7 linked regions of the Xenopus tropicalis genome follow. The protein of the gene in region 7 interacts with the protein of the main gene of each other region in a pairwise test. Links are inferred from orthologs where the notes say so. Each region holds a gene or a part of one and is shown on either strand. Other genes may lie near its edges.

What was found.
Region 1: the proteins of rbpms (region 7) and per1 interact in a two-hybrid assay, tested with the Homo sapiens proteins (2 studies listed by BioGRID). The link is inferred for Xenopus tropicalis from reciprocal best matches to the Homo sapiens genes RBPMS and PER1.
Region 2: the proteins of rbpms (region 7) and foxp3 interact in binary tests that used the Homo sapiens proteins (3 or more experiments, as listed by UniProt). The link is inferred for Xenopus tropicalis from reciprocal best matches to the Homo sapiens genes RBPMS and FOXP3.
Region 3: the proteins of rbpms (region 7) and creb5 interact in binary tests that used the Homo sapiens proteins (3 or more experiments, as listed by UniProt). The two-hybrid records come from large-scale screens. The link is inferred for Xenopus tropicalis from reciprocal best matches to the Homo sapiens genes RBPMS and CREB5.
Region 4: the proteins of rbpms (region 7) and gcm2 interact in binary tests that used the Homo sapiens proteins (3 or more experiments, as listed by UniProt). The link is inferred for Xenopus tropicalis from reciprocal best matches to the Homo sapiens genes RBPMS and GCM2.
Region 5: the proteins of rbpms (region 7) and tfg interact in binary tests that used the Homo sapiens proteins (3 or more experiments, as listed by UniProt). The two-hybrid records come from large-scale screens. The link is inferred for Xenopus tropicalis from reciprocal best matches to the Homo sapiens genes RBPMS and TFG.
Region 6: the proteins of rbpms (region 7) and tle5 interact in binary tests that used the Homo sapiens proteins (3 or more experiments, as listed by UniProt). The two-hybrid records come from large-scale screens. The link is inferred for Xenopus tropicalis from reciprocal best matches to the Homo sapiens genes RBPMS and TLE5.

The regions. Positions count from the first base shown.
Region 1 is NC_030679.2:144,443,499-144,446,998, forward strand, and holds part of per1 (period circadian protein homolog 1), read left to right. Parts: coding exon 1-86; intron 87-1,856; coding exon 1,857-2,058; intron 2,059-2,243; coding exon 2,244-2,295; intron 2,296-3,500. UniProt on the Homo sapiens protein: Transcriptional repressor which forms a core component of the circadian clock.
Region 2 is NC_030684.2:25,953,114-25,956,613, reverse strand, and holds part of foxp3 (forkhead box protein P3), read left to right. Parts: intron 1-1,326; coding exon 1,327-1,492; intron 1,493-3,500. UniProt on the Homo sapiens protein: Transcriptional regulator which is crucial for the development and inhibitory function of regulatory T-cells (Treg).
Region 3 is NC_030682.2:43,114,400-43,117,899, forward strand, and holds part of creb5 (cyclic AMP-responsive element-binding protein 5), read left to right. Parts: coding exon 1-274; intron 275-3,500. UniProt on the Homo sapiens protein: Binds to the cAMP response element and activates transcription.
Region 4 is NC_030682.2:90,621,082-90,624,581, reverse strand, and holds part of gcm2 (chorion-specific transcription factor GCMb), read left to right. Parts: intron 1-80; coding exon 81-333; intron 334-1,781; coding exon 1,782-1,894; intron 1,895-3,338; coding exon 3,339-3,464; intron 3,465-3,500. UniProt on the Homo sapiens protein: Transcription factor that binds specific sequences on gene promoters and activate their transcription. Through the regulation of gene transcription, may play a role in parathyroid gland development.
Region 5 is NC_030678.2:105,590,825-105,594,784, reverse strand, and holds the start of tfg (protein TFG), read left to right. Parts: upstream 1-1,160; 5' UTR 1,161-1,169; intron 1,170-3,960. UniProt on the Homo sapiens protein: Plays a role in the normal dynamic function of the endoplasmic reticulum (ER) and its associated microtubules. Required for secretory cargo traffic from the endoplasmic reticulum to the Golgi apparatus.
Region 6 is NC_030677.2:114,622,611-114,626,752, forward strand, and holds the start of tle5 (amino-terminal enhancer of split), read right to left. Parts: upstream 2,801-4,142; 5' UTR 2,531-2,800; coding exon 2,498-2,530; intron 991-2,497; coding exon 893-990; intron 1-892. UniProt on the Homo sapiens protein: Transcriptional corepressor. Acts as a dominant repressor towards other family members. Inhibits NF-kappa-B-regulated gene expression. May be required for the initiation and maintenance of the differentiated state.
Region 7 is NC_030677.2:83,961,183-83,965,210, reverse strand, and holds the start of rbpms (RNA-binding protein with multiple splicing), read left to right. Parts: upstream 1-1,228; 5' UTR 1,229-1,519; coding exon 1,520-1,582; intron 1,583-4,028.

The sequences.
Region 1 (3,500 bases), on a different chromosome or scaffold from region 7:
ACTCCCAGCCATGTTGCCTGGACATGTCCAGTTACACCATCGAGGAGGTGGAGAGCGTGACCTCGGAGTATACCCTAAAAAATCCCGTAAGTGTTGCACACCCACTGGGGTCTCTTTGTGTCCTTGCCAGAAAGCAGTAATGTGAAATATGTAGCATTAATATTGGAGAGATATCTTCCCAGGCCTATGGGATTGGTTAGTTATAATGCCAGTTAGGTGCCCTGGGTACCCCTGGAACTATAGCGGGGTGACTGTTACCCCAATGTTTCTATATATCTGTAACCTTGTTATGGGCTAAGGGGACCCAGCCTGAAGGCCAGTTAGGGGGGGATTTGGGGTGAGTGCTTATTTGTGCCCTGGGTACCCCTGGAACTATAGCAGGGTGCCTGTTACCCCAATGTTTCTATATATCTGTAACCTTGTTATGGGCTAAGGGGGCCCAGCCTGAAGGCCAGTTAGGGGGGGATTTGGGGTGAGTGCTTATTTGTGCCCTGGGTACCCCTGGAACTATAGCGGGGTGACTGTTACCCTAATGTTTCTATATATCTGTAACCTTGTTATGGGCTATGGGGACCCAGCCTGAAGGCCAGTTAGGGGGGATTTGGGGTGAGTGCTCATTTGTGCCCTGGGTACCCCTGGAACTATAGCGGGGTGACTGTTACCCCAATGTTTCTATATATCTGTAACCTTGTTATGGGCTAAGGGGGCCCAGCCTGAAGGCCAGTTAGGGGGGGATTTGGGGTGAGTGCTTATTTGTGCCCTGGGTACCCCTGGAACTATAGCAGGGTGCCTGTTACCCCAATGTTTCTATATATCTGTAACCTTGTTATGGGCTAAGGGGGCCCAGCCTGAAGGCCAGTTAGGGGGGGATTTGGGGTGAGTGCTTATTTGTGCCCTGGGTACCCCTGGAACTATAGCGGGGTGACTGTTACCCTAATGTTTCTATATATCTGTAACCTTGTTATGGGCTATGGGGACCCAGCCTGAAGGCCAGTTAGGGGGGATTTGGGGTGAGTGCTCATTTGTGCCCTGGGTACCCCTGGAACTATAGCGGGGTGACTGTTACCCCAATGTTTCTATATATCTGTAACCTTGTTATAGGCTAAGGGGGCCCAGCCTGAAGGCCAGTTAGGGGGGGGATTTGGGGTGAGTGCTTATTTGTGCCTGGGTACCCCTGGAACTATAGCAGGGTGACTGTTACCCCAATGTTTCTATATATCTGTAACCTTGTTATGGGCTAAGGGGGCCCAGCCTGAAGGCCAGTTAGGGGGGGATTTGGGTGAGTGCTTATTTGTGCCCTGGGTACCCCTGGAACTATAGCGGGGTGACTGTTACCCCAATGTTTCTATATATCTGTAACCTTGTTATAGGCTAAGGGGGCCCAGCCTGAAGGCCAGTTAGGGGGGGATTTGGGGTGAGTGCTTATTTGTGCCCTGGGTACCCCTGGAACTATAGCAGGGTGACTGTTACCCCAACGTTTCTATATATCTGTAACCTTGTTATGGGCTAAGGGGGCCCAGCCTGAAGGCCAGTTAGGGGGGGATTTGGGGTGAGTGCTTATTTGTGCCCTGGGTACCCCTGGAACTATAGCAGGGTGACTGTTACCCCAATGTTTCTATATATCTGTAACCTTGTTATGGGCTAAGGGGGCCCAGCCTGAAGGCCAGTTAGGGGGGGATTTGGGGTGAGTGCTTATTTGTGCCCTGGGTACCCCTGGAACTATAGCGGGGTGACTGTTACCCCAATGTTTCTATATATCTGTAACCTTGTTATGGGCTAAGGGGGCCCAGCCTGAAGGCCAGTTAGGGGGGGATTTGGGGTGAGAATGAATTTCCTGCTCTCTCTCGTTATCCCAGGATACATTCTCTGTGGCAGTCTCATTCATCAGTGGTCGAATTGTGTACATCTCAGACCAGGCTTCTCTCATCCTGCATTGCAAAAAGGAGGTGTTCAAGGGGGCCACATTCGCTGAGTTTCTTGCTCCACAGGATGTCAGTGTCTTCTATGGATCTACAGCCCCATATCATCTCCCTTCCTGGAGCAGCTGCACCTCTGGGGGTAAGGAAGGGGCAGATAATTGTACCCCTGAATTCACTTTGCCTGCATTGATATGTACAGTAGGGGGTGTGGATAGGCCCCAACCCTCACAGGGTGGTAGTGATAAAAACCTTCCCACAGTAGGGTGACAGAGTAGGATCTGTACAATCTGTCTGATTGGGGTCATTTTTGTCTTTTTCCTGCAGATACTGCATCAATGGACTACACGCAAGAGAAATCTGTCTTCTGTCGGATCAGGTGGGTATTGTGAGGGTGGGGAGAGCATAGAAAAATCATTCATTTATAGACAGAGAGAGGGGAGGCCCGGCTATCTATCCCCTGTATATACAGAGAGAGGGGGGGCCCGGCTATCTATCCCCCGTATATACAGAGAGAGGGGAGGCCCGGCTATCTATCCCCCGTATATACAGAGAGAGGGGAGGCCCGGCTATCTATCCCCCGTATATACAGAGAGAGGGGAGGCCCGGCTATCTATCCCCCGTATATACAGAGAGAGGGGAGGCCCGGCTATCTATCCCCTGTATATACAGAGAGAGGGGATGCCCGGCTATCTATCCCCTGTATATACAGAGAGAGGGGAGGCCCGGCTATCTATCCCCTGTATATACAGAGAGAGGGGAGGCCCGGCTATCTATCCCCTGTATATACAGAGAGAGGGGAGGCCCGGCTATCTATCCCCTGTATATACAGAGAGAGGGGAGGGCCCGGCTATCTATCCCCTGTATATACAGAGAGAGGGGAGGCCCGGCTATCTATCCCCTGTATATACAGAGAGAGGGGAGGCCCGGCTTATCTATCCCCCGTATATACAGAGAGAGGGGAGGCCCGGCTATCTATCCCTGTATATACAGAGAGAGGGGAGGCCCGGCTATCTATCCCCTGTATATACAGAGAGAGGGGAGGCCCGGCTATCTATCCCCCGTATATACAGAGAGAGGGGAGGCCCGGCTATCTATCCCCGTATATACAGAGAGAGGGGAGGCCCCGGCTATCTATCCCCTGTATATACAGAGAGAGGGGAGGCCCGGCTATCTATCCCCTGTATATACAGAGAGAGGGGAGGCCCGGCTATCTATCCCCTGTATATACAGAGAGAGGGGAGGCCCGGCTATCTATCCCCTGTATATACAGAGAGAGGGGAGGCCCGGCTATCTATCCCCTGTATATACAGAGAGAGGGGAGGCCCGGCTATCTATCCCCTGTATATACAGAGAGAGGGGAGGCCCGGCTATCTATCCCCTGTATATACAGAGGGAGGGTAAGAATGGGGCTTTTTATCCCCAGTATAATGAGGATACAAACTGAGCTATATATTGCTCCGGAAGTCCCCCTCACCCGCCTGGCCTATTAATCCTTACTTAGAAAGCTGTGACACAAAGGACCCTGTAATTAACACAGCGACACATCGTGCGTCACTCACCCCCACGCGCCGCCCACTGCAG
Region 2 (3,500 bases), on a different chromosome or scaffold from region 7:
CTATACCCATACCATAATAAATTTGTATTTTACTTGGAAATATTATTTGGGGGTAATTTAACACGATTGAAAAGGCAGGTCAGAAATGCACCACAGTCCAATCTCTCCCTACTATACCTGCTATCCCACAGCCACAGTCCCTTCCCAGAGGCTATTATCCCCCCCACTGCTACTATAGGCACCATCTCTCCCTACTATACCTGCTATCCCACAGCCACAGTATCTTCCCAGAGGCTATTATCCCACTGCTACTATAGGCACAATCTCTCCCTACTATACCTGCTATCCCACAGCCACAGTCCCTTCCCAGAGGCTATTATCCCCCTACTGCTACTATAGGCACCATCTCTCCCTACTATACCTGCTATCCCACAGCCCCAGTCCCTTCCCAGAGGCTATTATCCCCCCACTGCTACTATAGGCACCATCTCTCCCTACTATACCTGCTATCCCACAGCCCCAGTCCCTTCCCAGAGGCTATTATCCCCCCACTGCTACTATAGGCACCATCTCTCCCTACTATACCTGCTATCCCACAGCCACAGTCCCTTCCCAGAGGCTATTATCCTACTGCTACTATAGGCACCATCTCTCCCTACTATACCTGCTATCCCACAGCCACAGTCCCTTCCCAGAGGCTATTATCCCACTGCTACTATAGGCACCATCTCTCCCTACTATACCTGCTATCCCACAGCCACAGTCCCTTCCCAGAGGCTATTATCCCCCCACTGTTACTATAGGCACCATCTCTCCCTACTATACCTGCTATCCCACAGCCCCAGTCCATTTCCTATTATCCCACTGCTACTATAGGCACCATCTCTCCCTACTATACCTGCTGTATCACAAGCCACAGTCCCTTCCCAGAGGCTATTATCCCACTGCTACTATAGGCACCATCTCTCCCTACTATACCTGCTGTATCACAAGCCACAGTCCCTTCCCAGAGGCTATTATCCCCCCACTGCTACTATAGGCACCATCTCTCCCTACTATACCTGCTATCCCACAGCCACAGTCCCTTCCAAGAGGCTATTATCCCCCCCACTGCTACTATAGGCACCATCTCTCCCTACTATACCTGCTGTATCACAAGCCACAGTCCCTTCCCAGAGGCTATTATCACCATTGATACTATAGGCACAATCTCTCCCTCCTTTTTTTCTAAATCAAAGTAAGTAGAAGATAATACGCCCTCCGGTAAGAGACTAAAGTCTGTCAAGTGGTAGGTAGGATACACACCCAGAACATGTCAGATCTTTGATCCACCCTGGACAAGTTTGTCCTTGGCAAGCTGATCGCAATCTGTGTGTTTTGCTTCAGGATTCAATCTTACTAGCCTGGGTTGGGCGCCACAGGAAGCGCGGCTGAGAAAACCAGAAGAGGTTATCCTGGGTAAAAATACTTTTACATCCTCATCTTTGTGCCATTCACCACCCATCAATACTGTGAAGACCCAGAAGAAAGCTGGAGGACAGAACAAGGAGAGGTTAGTGCATTGGTTTGTAGCTAATGGTAAGTTAGAACCACTTGTACTCGCTCTTCCCATGATCCTTCACTTTTTCTCTTCCCATAATGCTTTGCTGTTTCTCTTCCCATAATGTTTTCCTTTTCTCTACCCATAATCCTATGGGTAGGAAGAAAGCTGGAGGACAGAACAAGGAGAGGTTAGTGCATTGGTTTGTAGCTAATGGTAAGTTAGAACCACTTGTACTCACTTTTCCCATGATCCTTCACTTTTTCCTCTTTCCATAATGCTTTGCTTTTTCTCTTCCCATAATGTTTTGCTTTTCTCTACCCATAATCCTATGTTTTATCAACTTGACTAAAGGTGACCATACACGGTAAGATCCGCTCATTTGGCATTCATTTGCCGATATCCCCACCTACAGTTGGGCGATATCAGACTAATTCAGTCATTTGACCCTGGGGCCAAATGATTGAATTAGAAAGACAGGTGTAGACACCATCGGTATTAACGAGCTGATGTGGTCACCAATCAGAAGGAAAAATCAAACCTGCCCAATTGAGATCTGCCGATTTCAGGCCAGATGTCGGACGGACAGGCCCATCGTTCGTGCCCATAAATGGGCAGATAAGCTGCCAAATTATCGGTAGCTAGAATCGGCCCGTGTATGGCCACCTAAGGTGACCCCAGCCTTCAAGTTACCAACCAGTTGAATTTACCTGGGCTATTTCAGGGGATGTCCTTTAGTACTTAAAACGGCAATACCTAGGGACATATGAGTTGATGGCTGGACCACTCATGAATGAATTATATGTCTACTGGTCTGTGTGCAAGCTTAAAACAAAGCCTGCTCAATACACAACCAGCGCTCAGTCACTATGATGTGGTGACTGGCTGATTAGCTGCAAAGACCTTTCTGGAATTCCTAATTTGGAAACAGGAGAGGCGGGTGGCAACCCTAGGTACCACACTGCTCAGTTGGGTTCAGATCTTCTCTTTTTTGATGATGGTCTAGCAGCCTCAGTACTATTATGACTGGCAGGTTTACAGAAGAACAAAACCTTGGAGGCCTCTCAAACCCCAGTAGAATTGCCCAACTGCACACCCTCTTACTTCCATGTACATGTACCACAGTAGGGTTGGGGCTTGATATCCCTTTCCGAGCAGTCTTATTCCAGGAGCATGCATAGCTGAAGCCAACCCAGACCTGGCTTCACCTGTGCAAACTTCTGGTTGGCTATAGCAGAGAAGGGGACATAAAGCATGATACTGCACTACTCTTCTTTATAAGGACAAGTACACGATCTGTGTTGTATAAGGGGTCCCCAATGGTGCAGTTCTTGAGGGGGTTGATGGCTTCTGGAGTGGGTCTATGGTTTTAACAAGGCTTTTGTTCTTCTTTATTATGGAATGCCTTTTGAAGACTGGGTACAACAACTAAGGTGTCATAATTCAATTTGAACAGTTAAGTTGAATAAGTAAGTAGGCAGAACTTACCAGGATGTGGGGAAAGCCCATTATAACTTATATTAATAGTTATCCAATACCCAATGAGTTACTGAGGCATGCCAGTATGGTCAGTGTTACCCTAGGTAAGACCTAAGCCTGGCTTGGCAATCTCTGGCTCCTGGCAAAAGCCAGGGGGCTGCTGTATGATGCCATTAAAAGTCACTATTTATTAAAACCAGTCAGTTATTTATCAAAAAATCAGAAGTTAAAAAAGCACGTGCTGTAAAAAGTTGTCGAAAAGTCACGAAAAGCTCAATTTTTTCGACAACGGTAAGCGCAACTTTTTTTACTTGACGCACAAACCAGCTTCAAAATACCCAAAACCCTCAAAGACCACGAAGCAAAGAAAGATCTTCCACTAGCAAAAAGGAACAATTGCCATTGACTTCTACATGACTTTGACAGGTTTTAGATGGAGAGTTTTCAGATTCAGAATTCTGACGGAATGGTCTTATAATAAATCTCTGAAAAGTCCCCACTGGGGCTTTTTCGGGTTCGCGAAGGTTATGGGTTATTAAAT
Region 3 (3,500 bases), on a different chromosome or scaffold from region 7:
GAACTCTATGGGTCACATGATAGACATGATGAATTCCCGACAGGACCAGACTCCACATCATCATATGCACTCTCACCCGCATCAGCACCAAAGCCTGCCCCAGCATCATCCGTACCCTCACCAACAGCACCAGCATCCGCCACACCATCCTCACTCTCAACCCCATCACCAACAGGGACACCCTCATCATCACTCTCATTCGCACCTTCATGCGCATCCGTCACACCATCAGACGTCTCCACACCCTCCCCTGCACACAGGGGGACAAGCACAGGTAGGTGACAACTATATATAATCTGATTTTCTTTTTTAAACCTAAGTGTGGATTTAGAAAATAGTTATATATAAAGCACAGCGAATAAATTGAACTCTCTTTTATCACCTGGAAATACAAATACTCCATGGATTTCCAACGTCAAGGTCTTTAAAATCATTGCTCATATTTGGCATTGATGAAATGTATCTTGTAGCAGAGTATCTGAATATTAAATAAACATATTTAGTTCCAAAATATGACTGTAGGATATTAAGCTTGCAACAACATCACAGTACACCATAATGGTTAGCCAACATCTATCTATCTTTTGAGACAGGAGAACCTGCTGCTTCACATTTCAAATATATTTTGCACTGCTGCAATGTGAATCTATAAGGGATATAAGGGATCTTTAGATAAAAAAAATCTCACCCGTTTTTCTTAGCAAGAAGACCACGGGAAACCATTTTTGTAGAACATCATGCCAAAAGTTTAATCTTCTGCGTTGTCATCACTTGTGCATAGCGTGGAACTGTTCATATAATATGCAGAGTGTCACAGACACATAAGCATCCCGCGTACAAAGCATCCTATGTTGAAACTTGAAAATCGTCCAGGAAATAATCATTTTTTCGTTTGAAAAATTCCTTCCGAGGACCTGCCTTAGCTTTTGGGATTATGCATAAAGCAACAGTGTTACGTAGGAAGCCATTTCTAGCACTGTCCTTTCGACAGCCAGCTGGACAGTTCGGCTCTTTCACAAGAATGTGCCAGCCTCATAAAAATTGTTAAGTCTTCTAGGCTTCAGAATTTCTTATGAAGTTCAAATATTCGCTTGACAAACTATAATCCTGCAGGAGACCTCAGAATCAAAAAGGCCAATAAAAACGAATTGTTATTCATTTGCATTGACTTGCTGTTATTATTATTATTATTATTATTATTATTATTATTATTATATGGGTATATGATCTTTTTTTCTTGACACTTGTTATCCAGTGTTGTAGTAAATAAGTTAAGCAAATAATCCTGCTTTTTGATTTGCTTTTTCTCTGGTACAGGTATAGGACCTGTTATCCAGAATGCTCGGGACCAAGGGTATTCTGGATAAAGGGTCTTTCCATAATTTGGATCTTCATACATTAAGTTTATTAAAAAATCAATACAACATTAATTAAACTCAATAGGATTATTTTGCATCCAGTAAGGATTCATTATATCTTAGTTGGGTTCAAATACAAAGCACTGTTTTATTTTCACAGAGAAAGAAGAAATCAATTTTTAAAATTTGAATTATTTGATTAAAATGGAGTCTATGGGTGACAGGCTTTCCGTAATTCAGAGCTTTCTGGATATTGGGTTTCCATATAACGGATCCCATACCTGTATAATAAAACAGTAGGGATCATTTACAAATTGCAGAACAGAGTGCAAAGTGCAAACCAGTGCAACATGCCATATATTTTTTTTTTTTTGCACTTCGCACCCTGCCCTGAGCACCCGTAGGTGCAGGTTTGGAGCACAAAGAGTTAAACTTCCCCAATAACTACAGCACTGCCTGCAGCTGCCCGACCCCCTCATCACTGCTAGTGCTGCACTTTTTTCTTGCTTTGGTTTTTGTAATGAGGCACAATGTTTTTAGCAGCTTGGTGCTGCACATCATAGAAACACTTCATATCTAGAGAACCCAAACCCAAGCATTACTAATATTAGATCCCATAACTGTAGTGTTCTCTAATTGCAATCAACTGTGATATCATGTAAATGAAACTGCCACATCTTCTTAACTGAGCTATAAATATGATGTACATATGACCTTGGTAAATAATGGAAACAATATATTTTGCAGCATTGTGAAGAATACAACAAACCAGTTCCCACAAGCTGACAAATACTTTTATTTCTATCTTGTTTTAACTTCCTTGGGCCCATATATCCATAGGCTGTGTATACTCATTTTACTTCCCAGTCCCATAGGATGTTTTTGTATGATGGGGTAGGGAACAAGCTCATTCCATGTCCTTTCCACGTTAAATCATTTAATATGTGAGGGAATGTGTTGCTTATTTGTTTGCCTGAAAATAAGCAACACTGAACAGTCTCAGTGTTTGTCACAACAGTAAGTGGGTCTGCAATTTGCCAAAATCATGTAGAAGTCAATGGCAGATGTCTCTTCCCTTGCCTGAAAGATTCTTCTTTTGACTCAAAACTTTAGAGGTTTCGGATTTTTGACACAATCTGGAAAATTCAAGTTTTCTGGGCGACAATTTGAAAAAGTCGCAGTTTCCGAGACAGACTTTTTCAGTTCACATTGTTTAGTAAATGTCAGACATTCGTGGAAATGAGTTTAGTTGAATTTTTAAAAATAAAATGAATAGAAATGCTAAGAGTTTTGTTAAGGTTTGTTATTATAGGCTGCAGGCAATATTTGATTGGTCCAATGTAGATTGGTCCATTGTACTGGCCATCAAATGTTGCTGAGCTATAAATTCCAAAAACTCAACAGAGCCTCTAGGAGGTTGCACGATGCCCAGGGGAAACTAGTGAAACTGAATGCCTGATTGTTTACTGTGACTTACTGTATGATGCAAATGCTATAGTAAATGAACCTCTATTAGACTATTTGTAATACACATTTGGCTAATTGTATATTATGTATGTAATATAAATAAATATAGGTAAAGACAAGGAACAGGACAGTGATAATTTGATAGGCAAAGTCCAGTGATGACTATTCTACCTACATGGTTAGTTATTGTGGTCACTGTGGGTGTCTAACAAATAACCCTCGGTATGTTTTTCATTCCTTTTCCTTATGAAGGAAACTGACTTACAAAAATCCACTTTACTGTTGTGGATTCTTAACAAACCATTAGCACAAATAGCTATTTTTGTTTTCCTTACGTTTTTTTTATATATGTAATGACTTTTTTGCTTGCTTTTGGGAGTTTCCTGGCGTAACTATTTTTCATGCTGAACACAAGTCACTTATGCCGTGAGTCACGGGCTGATTGCACTGGTATAAAGACTTTATTCCAGCATGTGCTAGTGATTTGGAATGGCCGGCTGCCAAGCAGCACAATTGAGTTGTTTGCAGCTAGAGAGAAAAATGCTAGGTAAAGCGAGTCCATTAATATTCCCTTTGTATATCTATATAAGATAAAAATCCTATCTGTGCAACATACTTGCTAAACAATTGCTGCAGTTGGGATGCACGTTTATAGATATAACAGCTTCCCTTTGA
Region 4 (3,500 bases), on a different chromosome or scaffold from region 7:
TACACTTTTTAAAAAAATTTTCATGTATAGATAAGCTCATATAATCTCGATATACTAATGTTATGCCAATTTTTGTGTAGGACTTGAAGCAGTTTGACAGCTTTCAGGAATGGACAGATGGTTATGTGAGATTTATATACAATGCAGAGGACAAGAATGCCCAGCGCCATCTAAGTGGTTGGGCCATGAGAAACACCAACAATCACAACTGTCAGATCTTGAAGAAGTCTTGCCTGGGAGTGGTGGTTTGCAGTCGCAATTGCACATTGCTAGATGGAGGCAAATTACTGCTCAGACCAGCCATATGTGACAAGGCCCGTCAGAAACAACAAAGTAAGTGGCAGAGACCATATCACTTCTCAGCTGCGGAAAACTTTTGTCTTTTACATCCATTTATTTTAGTCAAATTTCCATTTAATTATTTTAGTATTTCTGGAAATTGTTGTAATAAAAAATCACACAGCACACAGAGGGCAGATAAAGGAGGTTTCACCATCAGTATCAGAAGGGTGTATTTACTATGAGAGAAGCCATGGAACGCACCATCAAAAGAGAGGACAATAAGGGATTAGCGAGGTTGAATAAAAGTTTTGTATTACGAGCAATAAGTATTTATTAATCAATATCAATTAGTTCATGGATCAGATAAGTTTTTTGCTTTTGACTTTTATGAACCTGTTTTTTTGCAGACTTACAATATTTAAGTGTTTAAGTCTGTTTTAACCATTAAATTGAATGATATCCACAGAAATGATCTTCTATATATATAATATATATTACTTTTTTAGTTGGTAAACATTTAAAGATTTTATTTTAAAATACCTATACTATCTGGCAATTCTGTTAAAATATGGCAAATATAGCTATTTTATATGGTTTTTGTAGTTCATTCTTGCCAAATCTGTGATACTCTGTGATAGCTTTTGCTGTCCTATGATATTTTCTGTCCCATTAATGTTTTTTTTGGTATTTAACCATTAAATCTGAATTAAATAGAATGGGCACTTTAAGCTTTTTGTTTGATTTAGTTAAAAGTCAAGTGAAACCTGGAGTTTTGCTGTACACCAAAAGAAAATATTCTAGCAATGAAACAATATTACAGCAATGAAACAATATCATATAATAACTAAAGTAGTCCCAGTTTGGAACAGGTGTGGATCTATTGTTGTTCTTACTTATCTGTCTTATTTTTTATCTGCTATATGGTAACAGGGTGCTGCAAATTAGTCAAAATTTATGGCTCCTAGGTTGCCAACCTAGAGAGCCCTATCTCTTAATTAACTGTCACTCTGATCAGGCCTGATTGACGTGCTAATAATCAACTTAAAGAATGGTTCTCAATTTAGTTAGTGTGGATCTACCTTCCAGTGTGAGACAAATATGGACTTTGGAGAATCCTCCATATCAATGGCATTCCTGACTTAAACAAAATAACACATAAAGATAACATGACACATAAAGATAAAGGGAGCAATTGTTTATTCCTCTTAAAATCTGAATTGTGCAAACAAATACAATTTCAGTATAGTTAATACAGAGCATTTATGTCTTTCACAAGCAGCATACATAGAAAAATAAAAGCACTGAAATTGCGGTGAGGCAAAAACTTAAGGCACTTCAGATTTTGTATACAGAACTGTGCTTACCTATCAGTGTTAGATTTTAAAAGGAGAATAAATACATATCAATATTTTACTGCATGTGTTGCAATGTGCAATTATTATCACTATTAGCAAGATCACTCAATGATATGATTTAACTGAGCTTAATTTATTTCAAAGAGAAAATGTGCAGTAACTGCAACTCTGCTCTGGAACTGATCCCTTGCCGAGGCCACAGTGGTTATCCTGTTACTAATTTCTGGCGACTGGACGGGAAAGCCATCTTCTTCCAGGTATTATATTTATTAATTTCCTATAAGAAAACAAGAGAAGGGGCTGATATTTTGTGGGAAGCCCATGCATTTTGTAGCTTTGTGTATTATTCAGGCTTGTAAGCACACAAAAGTTTTGTTATTCCAAAGAGTAGGTTGTAGTACTGAAATAGGAGGCATCATCTGGGAAAAAATACATCATTAAAGGAACAGTAACACCAATGTTTTTAAAACTTATTACCACCACCCCCCACCACCACCAAATAGCTATGATGATAGGTAAGGCTTACTTCCCCTTGCTTTTTTTTTTAACTCTTTACCTTCACTTGCAAAGTAAACCATAGGAGAAAGATGAAAAGGCAATTGCAACTTAAATTCCTCTGTGCACTGAACTGGAAGTCAGCTGCGCACTGATAAACTAAAGCACCTAAGTTTTTTTTTCAGTGTCTGCAGCTTAAATTTATGTCTCTATTCCTTTGGACAGCTATGGGGGTAATGATGTGATAATATATTTAAGCTGCAGATGCTAAAAAAAAAAAAAAAAGCTTAGATGCTTTTAGGTCATTGGTGCAAAGCTGACTTCCGGTTCAGTGCACAGAGGAATTCAAGCTGCCCGTTACCTTTTAAAAACTTTGGTGTTACTGTTCCTATATAGGGGGTGTTCATCTTTAAATTAAGTATTAGTATGATATAGAGAGTGATAGTTTGAGATCATTTGCAGTCAGTCTTCAGTTGTGGTTTATTAATTTTTTTTCTTTTTGTTCAGCAGCTCTCCAGTATGGAATGTCAGCAGCTATCTGATTGCTAGGATGAGGATGCAAAATACCAGACAGTGTTTTAAATAATAGACAGAAATAGGAATACGAGAGGGTCTGACTATAAGGATAAATAATAAAAAGTAACAATAACAATCAGGGGCGCTGCTGCCATGAGGCAAGTTGAGTCACTCACCTCAGGTGGCAGCATCAGACAAGTTACCAGGGGAGGCAAAAAAGCACTCCTGCTAACTTCTAGTGCAGAGAGCGCCCTGATGTGAAAAAGCAGCGCGCGGGGGAAGCGAGGGGGGCGGCACCAACTTTGCCACCTCAGGCGGCCAGGACCCCTGAGGCGGTGCTGATAACAATAAAATTGTAGCTTCAGACAACAATACTTTTTTTGGCAGCTGAGGTCAATGACCTCTCTTTAAAACCTGGAAAGTGTCAGAACAAAAAAAAACCCCCAAATCATTCAAATATGCTAAATAAAAAATGAAGACCAATAAGTAGCTTAGAATTTGTCATTCTATAACAAACTATTTAACATAAGGTTTACTACTTTTACTACTACCCTTTAATCCAATAGTTACTACATAAAGCAGACAAACTGCGAATAGCAATCAGTTACGCTATTGAAACCATTGTCAGGATCAACATCTTTCCAGTTATATTAAATGTATTTTTATGCATATCTCTATGTTTAATGATAGGCAAAGGGCGTCCATGATCATCCCCGACCAGAGAGTAAATCAGAGACAGAAGCCAGGAGAAGTGCTGTAAAACGGCAACTATCTTCATCTCATCTGTCACAGAAAAAGAAACTTCTGGATCCTGAGGTAAGACCCTAAATCAATACATTTACAGGTAAAGTC
Region 5 (3,960 bases), on a different chromosome or scaffold from region 7:
GGTCAGAGTGGGTTTCCTCTGGGCTCTCTGGTTAAGTGGCTTCTGATAATTCGGACCCTACAATGCATAAATCTTATAGGGACCTTAGACTGTAAGATCTGCTAGGGCAGGGACTGCTATATAATGCACTGGGGAATATGCTGGTATTATATAATCATGCATTGATAAAACATTATAACATTAACAGTTCGTTTTAAATATCCGGGAGTCAGGAAGGAATTTTTTCCCCTCTGCGGCAAATTAGAGAGGCTTCAGATGGGGTTTTTTGCCTTCCTCTGGATCAACTAGCAGTTAGGCAGGTTATATACAGGCATTATGGTTGAACGTGATGGACAGAAGTCGTTTTTTTCATCCCAACTTACTATGTTACTATTTCCAAGTACAAAATATGATGAAAAGTAAATACTGAGATACAAACTTGAGACACTAAACTGCATCCATCTTCCTGACCATCCTTTAAGCAAGTGCCTACTGGCACAGATATACACAGAGGGCACTTTTCACCGTGACGCCTATTCAAAACTAGTTAAAAAGTATCCAGGTACAAACCAAGCATTATCCACACTCCTGTACATAAATGTCGGCAATGTATAATGTCACATCAGGAAACACAACAGGCAAATGTGAAACTCACTCACTAAGCAGAGATGGTTACTTTGTGTGCTGATTCTGTACCTTGGCCTTGGAAACTCTTTGTGCAGTGGATCAGAAGGGGCTTATTTCTTGGTGTCTGGTTTTCAGAAACGGACGGCTCTCACCTAGAGACCAGCCTGCCGCAAAACTACAGATAACCCGCGGTTGCTTGTCTTTAATTTTTGACAGTAATAAAGTTTACTGAAAAACATAGCACTAATAAAGTTGATTGAAAAAAGAAACACAGTTTCCCGAAAGCACCGTCCTATGCTAAGCTGTGCCACAAAGCTGTAATGCGCATGCTCGCTTCGCTTCCTCCTTTGCCACGTACAGATTGTGCGCTGAACGCGTAGACTTGGAGTGATTATACTGCGTCTGATTGGTTGCTCCGAGCGCCTGACGTTGCGGTGCTGGCAGACAGAAGGAGGAGAAGTGGTATTAGTACTGCCGCCCTCACCCTGTCTCCTTGGCATTTAATCTTACGGCGGTCGGTAACCAGCCCGGTATATCTACGGGGGAGCGAACAGCAGCGTCAGGTAAAAGTCAAACCTGGAAATGAATGTGATAACATCGGCATTGTGAGCTGGGCCCCGGGGTGTGGCTCACGCTGTGCCGGCTGGTGGTGGAGCCAAAATATTAATACTGATTCTGTAGACGTGTTTTGTTTAATAATCATATAATTGCTCATAACTTTCGCTTAGTATTCCACTGGCAGTATTACTCTGTCAGAGCTTCATGTTCATTTTTTAATAGTTAAAGTGGCGCAGGTTGAACATTCCTGGTAAGGATGTATACAGGTGTGTGTATATTATATATATAATCATGGGCATCTTAAACCAACTTGCCCAGAGAGTTAGAGTCTGTGTTAATGTAAGATCCGCTTGTGGTTAGAAAACCTTCACCCCTGACATCTAATTCATTGTTGCTGTCACATGGCAGAAAGGTGAGAAGCAACACGTTTATGTGGGTCTCTGGTTTTCTGTTCCTTGCTCACCATGACCTCAGCCGACATTCAGTTGCCACATCATAAGTCCAGAGATCAACACAACTTGATGATATAAGATTGTGTGAAATCTCAGTCTTAAAGGCCTAGGGTTGCCAGCATAAAGTTAGTCAAGAACCTTCTATATTTTGACTTGGCTTTATCTTTTTTTTTTTTTTTTTGTAACTTCTTTTTTATTAACGATCATCAATAATGACAGTTTACATAGTTTCATTGACTTGGCTTTATCTTATTAAGACATAATCCTTTTTCTATGTTTCATTTTGCCTTTTTAAAGGTGAAGTATGCCCGCTTGTTCAATGCTTAACAGGACTGAACAGTTCTTTTTTACTTATTGTTTTAATCATAAAAGTTCTATGTGTGCTATTTCTTCAACTAAGCTCCTCCATGGTATTTTTGTGACAATTAGATAGCCAGTACACAGATAATCCCCCTCTATAATGAACTCATTATAAATAGTCATAACAAGGGACAAAATGAAGAGAGGAGGTTGTATACTGGTAATCAAGTTATTTACTTTGTGAGGTAGCTTCCATTTCTCTGTTCATTTATGAAATAATTTGTGTGCATACTGCAAGTGTTACAGGAAGAGGGAATTATTTGTAATAGGGCACTTGTAGATCTACGGGAATTCACCTCCTATTAGCTTTCTCCAAGTGTTTACTACAAAACTTGAGTAATGTTTGTGCAGGTTAAGAGCTATAAAGTTCTTGATACCACATGTTTATAGATCTACATTTAGTTCCCATAATATTCATTCATATTCTGTAAATTTCAGTAATAGAAATGTCTCATAGAAAGTGTTTTACCAGTCAGACATGTCAGTCTGGCTTTTCCTGATTGATTGTATGAACATTCAGTTTCTGTCCTGAAGTGTGCATCAGGGAAGTCTGCTGCTACTGCTGGTGGGGGATATGTGTTGTAATTGTGTAGCTGCAAGTTGGAAAAGTCCTGGGATACATGGCATATTTATCCACTGGTAAAACATTCCAAGTAAAATTTCTTGCAAAATTGATTGCATAGGATTTGTTATATTTGTCATGGAACTGTGCTGAGAATTATGCTTTACTATCCTTCCCTATAAATAAATACCATTTTTGGTAGCATCCATTAATCCATCATATTCAGTGGGTACTGCTGACACCTGCTGCCTGACAAGCACCCATCATAAAATCCTAAATTCAGCTGGTGATTAGTACATGCTAAAATGTGTTAGAACTGAAGAATGATGATCCTGAAAATACAATTGAACCAGATTTATTGGACATATTCTAACCCAGTTGATTTGGGCTGTGCCACAGTTTGAGGGGAGAGGTGCAATTTAATGTAAGCCAAAACATAGAAAGCTTTATCGTTCCCTTTCTGATAGTATTAGGTGTTTTCACCAGCTATTGACCCATTGTAAACATGTGCAAAAAAAAAAGACAAAAGTATATGTGTTTGGGCCAGTTCCAGAAGGCATTACAAGTAAATAATTTACCAATCAGGTTATTCTGCCTGTGCCTTTACTTTAATTTTAAAGGCACATGCTTATTCATAATAGATCTGAAATTGGGAAAAGGAATACACCTTTGTAATGTGTCAGAAGATGTATTACGTTTTATTATTTACTTTCCAGTATTTAATGTTTACCTGTTTGAACGGTGCATCCTGGAAAGCTGCTTAACTCATTTTTGTGAAAACATAATCTCTTAGCCTTTGGCTTACTTGGAGATCTAGAGATTTGTGATTTCTGTTTCAATTTGAAACGACTAAACTGTATGTTAATATGCAGATGTTAATTATTTTGATTAACTTTTAGGCATGGTATAATTAGAAATGACTGAAAAACTCCAGGAAAGCAGACAAGTGAAATAATTTAAAAGCAATAAAGAAAAGCTCAATTTTTCATTGTCCACATAATTATGAAAGTTGATTCCTTTTGAAACACACACACACAGAATTAGTGTCTGCAGCAACAGACTGGTTCTGTTTAGTGTTACTTATTAGTTAGGTATGGTATAGTCAGGTATTTGTGGTTTAAAGCTTCTTGACATTTCTTAGCAACTGGCCATCCCAGCATACACCTGTTGCCACAGAGCAATGGAGGGATCCTTAAACAATGATATGGCAAGTAATACTATAGCAAAACTTATGTTTTTCATTATTGCAGTTATGTGTGGAAAATATTAAAATCTAATTTAATAAATGTTTTCTGTATATTAATGGTAGAACTGCAAAAGTCTAAATACAAAGGACATTAAAGGGGACCTGTCACCCTAAGAAATACTTGCAAATTGTTTTCTATTGTGTTTGTCAAGCAAAATAAAATTCACCTACACTGT
Region 6 (4,142 bases), about 31 Mb from region 7:
TGCAGTTGGACAGTACAGGTATTCAGCTATCTGGAAATCTGTTATCCAGAAAACTCCGAACAACGGTAAGGTCATCTCTCATAGGCCCCATTTCCATTTTCTCTGTAATAATAAAACAGTACCTTGTACTTGATCCTAACAAAGACATAATTAATCTTTATTGGAGGCAAAACAACACTGTTGGGTTTATTTAATGTTTAAATTTTGCTTTAGTGAACTTAAGCTATGGAGATCCAAGTTACAGAAAGATCCCTTATCCAGAAAGCTTCAAGTCCCAAGCATTCTGGGTAACAGGTTCCATACTTGTACAGACTTAGCTGCTTATACTAAAAGAATAAGGGTTCTTAAACACTGGCATTTTAGTGTAGGGACCCAAATATCAGTATATCATGTTTAAGGGCCAGGTTATATTAAATTTATGTCAAACAAGTTAGCTACAGGTCATCATGTATGTGTCCTAACAATACTATGCCATAAAAAACATAAAATGTAGTGTTTGGCTAATGTCGCATGGAGCCAGTCAGTCACCTGCAATAGATTTCTGCTACCATGGCTGACTACTGTGCCAAAATGCCTTTCCACTGGCAAGCCAAAGCGATGCGTATAACTTTCCACTGGCGACTCCTAACTCCTATTGTTGCAGGTGGAAAGGCATTTCGGAACAGCTAGTTGCCTGTGGTAGCAAAGATCTATAGTGGGCGACTAACTGCACCATTAGCCTTAAGGTGGCCGTACAGGGGCTGATTAAAGCTGATGACTTGGTTCCTCCCGACCTAGTCGGCAGCTTATTGGCATGTGTAAATTCTAGATAACAATCGGCAGGCTTGAAAACCTCATCAGACAAAAGGTGCATTGGCGTGGCCCTCAGTGTCAAAATGAAGCAATTTCCTACCTGTGATACTGTGCCTGCAGCAGTTGAAATTCATCCTTAATTCTATCACATGAATCTGAGGTTGTGAATTTGAGTTGCTGGGGCAAATGCGAAGAGCCCTAAGGAAAAAAAAATCATAATAGAAATTCCATGTGAAAACATTTGCAGCCTTAATGGAATCCACAGGACACTTGGCTAATTAGTGGTTAAATTAAAGGCATAGTATACCCCTTTAATGATCACCAGTCCATTGAGAAACCTCTGTATAATGAGCTACTCATTTCAGAGTCTAACAGGTTGCATCAAGGGGCAGGGAGGGGTTTATTTATACAAAGGGCTTCTCAGTGGACTAGTAATTTGTTTTGATTGTGTTCCCATGAGTCAGGAGGTAGAATAGGGTAAAAGAAGAGTTCTACAACAACTTTTGTCTTTGTTTGCCACCTCACCCCTTTACACCTAAATGGCTTATGCAATATGTATTATTATGTTAAGCTAAAAATACCTTTGGAAACATTAGCTGCCATATCAGTTAGATATCTGCTGGGCAGGTTTGAAAATATCATAAAATAAGGGCCACTTGGTTGTTTATACGCTCAGTTCCTAATCAACCAAGTATAGGCCCCTATAATGATCTGATCAGCGGCCATAAAGCCAAACAAACCTTGGTGGCCAAATCACAAGATAATTCACTTGTTTGCCGACTTCACCAAATGAGTGGATCTTTCAGTGTATGGAAGGCTTTAAGCACATAATACATGGCTGCAGCAAGCATAGTTATTACTAATAATTAGCTATTTCTGTTAAGTATATGTATCCCATTTCCAAGGGAGAAGGCAGCAACTAGAACACTGCTTGGTCATTATTTTGACAATTGGAGGCTCACTTTTCTGTGGTACAGTACATGATACATGAATATCTCAATTATGCACTGCCAATATGGTGAGGGCCACATTTGTCAGGCACCTCTGGTGATTACCTTGGACCCCAGGCTAATACTGCTCTTCACTAAAAAAAACACAGTGGCCAGGATACTATTTTAGGGTGCACCACCATCTTGCTTCCTTGCTGCTGCTCTGGGTCATGTGCAATACAGCAAAATATTTGGCTTGCAGCTTCAGTCCTGATTTTGCTCTATAGCATGTGCTCATTACCCAGGGCAGAAGTAAGAATTGCATGGACAGAAAGCAAGCTGGCAGCACTCCCTACAATAGTGCCCCAGGGCAGTGCAATTTTAAGCACAAAGGCAACTCCAATGGGGGGGATTGAGGCTAGTAATTATAATTATTGGGGAGGGGATGCCTACCATTGCCCCTTCCAGTAATTTCTTGTCCTTAACATGTATTTATAAAGAGGCAGCACATTGCACAGCAGTGTGTAATACTGGATATCACCTCGAAAATATAACAATGCTACCAGTGCTCTAGACGGCAAAGATGGATTCAACAGAATTCTGAAACTCTACTACAACACTAAGCCCTTTCGGCTCCTGCAACGGCAGGACTTCCTGCAACAAAAAAATCCTACCCCCATATTGCTTTTAGCGTCTCCAGCAGATGAACATGTTCTATACAAATATAACACACAATAATACAGTAGTACATTCAGTTCTACCCCTCGCCTTCTCACCGAGTGCCGGCTGCTGCTTTGAGGAAACATCATATCCCACCCGGCCCCGGTATGTACGGCGCTACGCACAGGCTCAGTATCCAAGGCCCGGCTTCCTGTGCGCTTTATCCAAGGGCTCAGTGCACTTTGGGAAGGCTTCGCTCTGCTTCTCAGCCGGCACTACTGCTTTGGGCCCAGATATGTGATCCGCAAACCCCAGATGATCTTCTGGCCGCTCTGTGTGCTGTCAACCAGGACCTCTACTGTCCCCTTGGCCTCGTCCCTTCTTGATCTCTAACCCGGTAATGCTCCCCCACCCCTGAGGCTACGGCCTGCCCTGCTTCACTACACGATCTCCTAGCTCTCTACCCACTCAGGAGCCTTTTGTTTAATGGCGTCTGTGCTTAAGCAGATATATGGCTCCCTCTACAGGTCACAGTTTCAATGATTCAATTTCCCATGTAAGGATCCCTTGTCCTTTTAGCTGATTTTAAAATTCCTGAAAAAATGAAAGCTTATCAGTTACATTCAATGAACCCTGCTATACAGACCTCAGTGGGAGCATCATTTCGCTAATTTTTAGAGGCTGCCTTATTTTAATCTCCCTTAAGAATATTTTTTGTCTCTGTATATATCTAAGGCTTTTACAACAATCATCTGAACTGAAGTAATTCAATTTTTACCAGTGGTGAAAGTAGATGTTACTAAGCCCTCAACATATTCATTAAAGGGGCACCCAAAATTTCTGGAGAAATTGTTTAGTAATTATGGCCCCACTGGGCCCTCAACATTTCTGGCCTGCTACAAACTCCTGGCTGCACAGATTTTGCTTCCAGACACTCACACATGATGTTCAGTTCTTGGTAATTATGGGGTGCAAAAGATAAGACACTGATGGCCTCGTTTACTAAGGGCCTACAGCACCATGTTGTTCAACCTTCACACCAATGCACTGAGCATTTGCATCTGATCAGTTTATGTTTAGATGAACACGGTTTCCCAATGGCACACTGGTGTAACAATGCAAAATGCTGACAAAAACATGGAGCCTTGCAGAATGACATCTAAGGCTAATGTCCCATGGAGCAAGTTAGTCGCCCGCGATAGATCTCGCTACCGCGGACGACTAAGTGCTCCAAAATGCCTTTCCACTGGCAACTATAGGAGTCGCTGGTGGAAAGGCCTACGCATCGCTTTGGCTTTCCCAATTCGCACAAAGTTTCCTCCTGCAGGCAACTTTGGAAAGCCGAAGCAATGCATAGGCCTTTCCATCGACTCCGATTGTTGCCACTGGAAAGGCATTTCAGAGTGATTAGTTGCCCGCAGTAGCAGAGATCTACAGCGGACAACTAACTTGCTCTTTGGGCCATCAGCCTTAAATGAACCAAATTATTTAACTAAAACAACTGTCTCACTGTAAATGTGATTTTGGGCCACAGTAAAAATCTCAACTTAATCAAGAAAAGTTTAAAGTAATAGGACAGCAAACAATACAGTACTAAATTCCTCTCTGCACCTCAGACTTATTTAGGCATTATTACAATATAGTTCTATATTGGACCATCATTTAGTCAAGAGGAAAAGGCTCAGGTTTTTTGAGAGATGAGAATCAACCAAACTCTAGCTTCCTGAAGCACTCAATTTAATGGTTGCACACAAAAAGTTG
Region 7 (4,028 bases):
CGCGCTCAGAATGTTAATGAAGGTACAAGTATTTCTAGGAGATCTGCTTCCTGAGGTAGCCTAGATTTGCCGCAGGTGATAAATCTCCTTGTCTCCCAGTATCCTAAGGCCCATAGGGAGATTAGTCACCTATTGTTAGATTGCCACCAGCAATAAAGTAAATTGCCGATGGGAAGACATATGCATTGCTTTGTTTTGTGAAGTTGTGCTGTTTCCTCCTGCAGGGAATTCACATTTCTGGGATTAGTTCCCAAAATTTTAGGGAGATTAGTTGGCCGCGGTAGCCAAGATTTAACCGTGGCCAACTAATCCTCCTGTGGGCTATTGCCCTTATGGTGATGGCACATGTGGAAATTAGTCTCCAAAAAATGCTTTCCCACCAGCAATAATGTAAATCACCACTGGGAAAACATACGCTTTGCTTTGTTCTTCTAAAGTTGAACGTAATTTTCTCACAAAGAATATCCAGAAGATTAGACACCTGTGGTAGAGCAGATATATCAAGGGTGACTAATTCCTATGTGTGCAGTCACCCCTAAGGCTGAGGCACATGTGGAGTTTAGTCACCTACGATTTACATTACTGCTGGTGGGAAAGCATTTTTAAGAGATTAGTAAACTGTGATAAAGCAGATTTAGCTCAAATCTCCAGGTCTCATTGCCATGGCTCTAAGCTCCCTCTTTTGTGGAATCCTAACAACAACAAGAATAAATGCATAAGAGCGCATTATCTTTGCTGGTTCCTACATTGTGTACTTCGCACCTTGGTGTAAACCTCTGCCTAAATTAACCTTACAGGAAAGTGTTAAGATCTATCGCTACAAATTGAAATAATATAAGGAGGGTAAGGCGGCACCCAGAACATTCAGGTATACTTGCACTGTAATAGATCCTACTCACCACTAGCACCAAACACAGTGCTTATCACTCTTTCCGCCCCCTCCACTCTCTCTTTCTCTCACCCTGCTGCCGCTGCCTATTTTCTATCTCTCGGCATTTCACCCTTTGACCTTGTCTGGAAATCGTCAATTTCTGAAGACGCTTTCAAGCACGGCTGATTTTTTAACTAAGAAATTGGACCCGATACTGATTTTTTCTCTCACCAGCCCTCCCTGCTCTCTAAACAGAGCAGCTCCCCACCCACAAACTGGGAGTTTTGTAGTCCCGGCTCTGAAGTTGCTTTAAGCCCTTCCCCTTCAGAAAGCAAAGGCTGCTCCTAACCCTAATCACCAACAGTCACTCGCAATCCCCCTTTCCTCTCTCACCCCCTCGCTTGCTTTCCTTATCACTCGTACAAACCACAGACTTCCTCATCTTACTTTTAAGACAAAACTCTGAAAGAACAAGAGCTTTATTATAATATTTGGATCTAAATGATATGCTTTTCATTAAACTAACCAGTAACCTGACTGCTTGAAACTAAGTTCCAGTCTTTCTCCAGCACTTCCCAGTATAAGGAAAGCGAAAAGTCTGCACTGTAGAAACTGACATTCACAGAAGCCTCTGCCCAGGAGACCACAATGAACAGCAACATAGCTGAAAAGGAGGGCTCTCAGGATGAGATCAGCCTTCCAGAAGAAGAGGTAGGTGGCTCTAATACAACCGAAATATTTTACTCATTATCCCTAGTCTGCACATGGTGTTATCCACTTGTGATGCCTGCTGATCATTCCAACTCCTATAGTTTGTTGTATAAAAATGCTTTTTTAAATGTTTCTTAAAAAGCTGTAATATTGATCAACAGAAATGTAGTTCAGTATACATGTTTGTGTGTTTACAAATGCTAAGTAAAAGCAGCTTAAATTTTGTATATTATTACATACACACACATGTATACCTTGTTATCAGTCACTGTTTGTGTGTATATATGTAGTGCGGTACCATTTTGTGGGCTTGTTGTTTTAGTAAGTGAGCAACCCTGGCTGTAGTCCCACAGTAAGATTTGTTTCTGGGGATTTGACAGATTCTATGTGTGGCAATTTAGGTCCGACCTCAGGAGTCAGTCAGTCGCATCCTCATTCATCCTTTAGGAGTGATGAGCATATGATTACCCTGTGACTTGTCAGATTTCATTTGTATGGAAAGAGTTCACATTCATCAAAATTGTATGTAATTGCATGCCTTAACTTTCATGCTGACATTCTGATGTGATCAAGCTCATGCAGTGGAGGACCACTTTCTATAGTGTGAATGTGAGATTGGTATTTTTTTAATGGGAGAAAACGACAAACTTAATTATTCTGGTTTGTAGATCAGAACAATTGCTTAGTTCTAAACAGTCAATCACATCAGCTTTTGATTGGAAGCATGATCTGCACAACTGTTGTTTTGTGAGTGCAGCATACAGTAAATCTGTTGTTTAAACAAATGTGTTCATAAATTGTTCAATAAATCCTAGGTGTCTTGAGTTTCTGGGATTTTCCTTAAAACACGGGAAGTTGTAATATATGAGTTGCAGTTCTCATTGCTGTGTATTTTTTAGGTGGTACAAAATGGTCCTTGTTTTGTCAAAATAGTAATATTAAAATTAAAAAGCCATAACCCTCTCTCACAGTTGGGTCCTTGCATTACTGTGTAGAGGAAGGAAATAGTGTTGTTAAACAATACCTCTCATGCTGCAAACAAATAAGGATAATGGATACCAGTTCTCAAGTGTGAACTAGCTCCTGCATTTCAACTATGAGATGCCCTTTAGGGCTTGTAATTACTAGCGTTTGTTTCTGCGTTTCACCGCAGGGGTGCACAGAAACAAACACATTTCATACTTCCCCATGTGCCTATGTGGTCCCTCTTCTTTACTAGGGCCTTATTGTCCAAGACAGCCCAGCAGACATTCCAGCAGGTGGAGGCCAAAAGGCAAGAGCCATGTGATCCCGCTTACTATATTAAACATTACAGGAAACAATTATAACATCCGTGAACCAATAGGGAAAAACTATTCTACCCAGGTATCTAGGTTACAGGTGCCAGGAATATGCAAAAAGAAGGGAAATCAGGCTAGTAGGGGATTCACAAACCCACAGGGCATTTAACTTACAATTCAGTAGAAGATTCAAACATCTTGAGTGTGGGAATTTTGCTTTTTAGTACCAGTACTTTTTGACCATGCACCATTCAGTGTGCGGTTCTCCTCTGTGTTTCTCAAGTCCAGGCCCAGGACAGTTGCCTATAGTTTACATACACATCACACATTTTCTTGCAAATTCGTCAATATTGGTATTTTTATATTCACTTCTTGTGTCAAATTTTCAGGTTTAACAAAATTGCATGCTAGTATGAAGATCAGCTGTTTTAAAAAAGGATTCTAGGAGCAGCTGCATTTTCCTCTGAACAGTAAGTGGAACATGCAAAGGACACTGGCTCCCTTAACAGCATTGTTTTGTCCTTGGAATAGTTGAATTCAGGTATACTGTTAGTGGCATGGTAGAACAAGGCAAATGATTAATAAATGTTTCAGTTGTTTGTAAAATAATGTGGAGAGTTTTTGATGCAAACAAAATATATATATATATATATATATATATATAAAATCACAAAATTTGGTAACAGGCACTCACAATACAGAGTCAAGGATGCCTGGGTGCAGTCCAATACGAAATAGTAAAACACAAAATAGCCGGTACCGCACTCACAGGTCTTATATAAAGATATTTATTCAAAAAATCGTGTCTAACGTTTCGGCTGCCATTGCAGCCTTTCTCAAAAAAGAAAGGCTGCAATGGCAGCCGAAACATTAGACACGATTTTTTGAATAAATATCTTTCTATAAGACCTGTGAGTGCGGTACCGGCTATTTTGTGTTTTATATATATATATATATATATATATATATATATATATATATATATACAGGATCTCTAATTTGTAAACCTGATATCCAGAAAGTTCCAAATTACAGGAAGGCCGTCTCTCCTACTGCCCATTTTAAGCAAATAATTCCAATACTTTAAAATTATTTTTTCTGTAATAATAAAATATTACCTTTTACTTGATGGTAACTAAGCTGCATAGATCCATAATGGTTGCAAA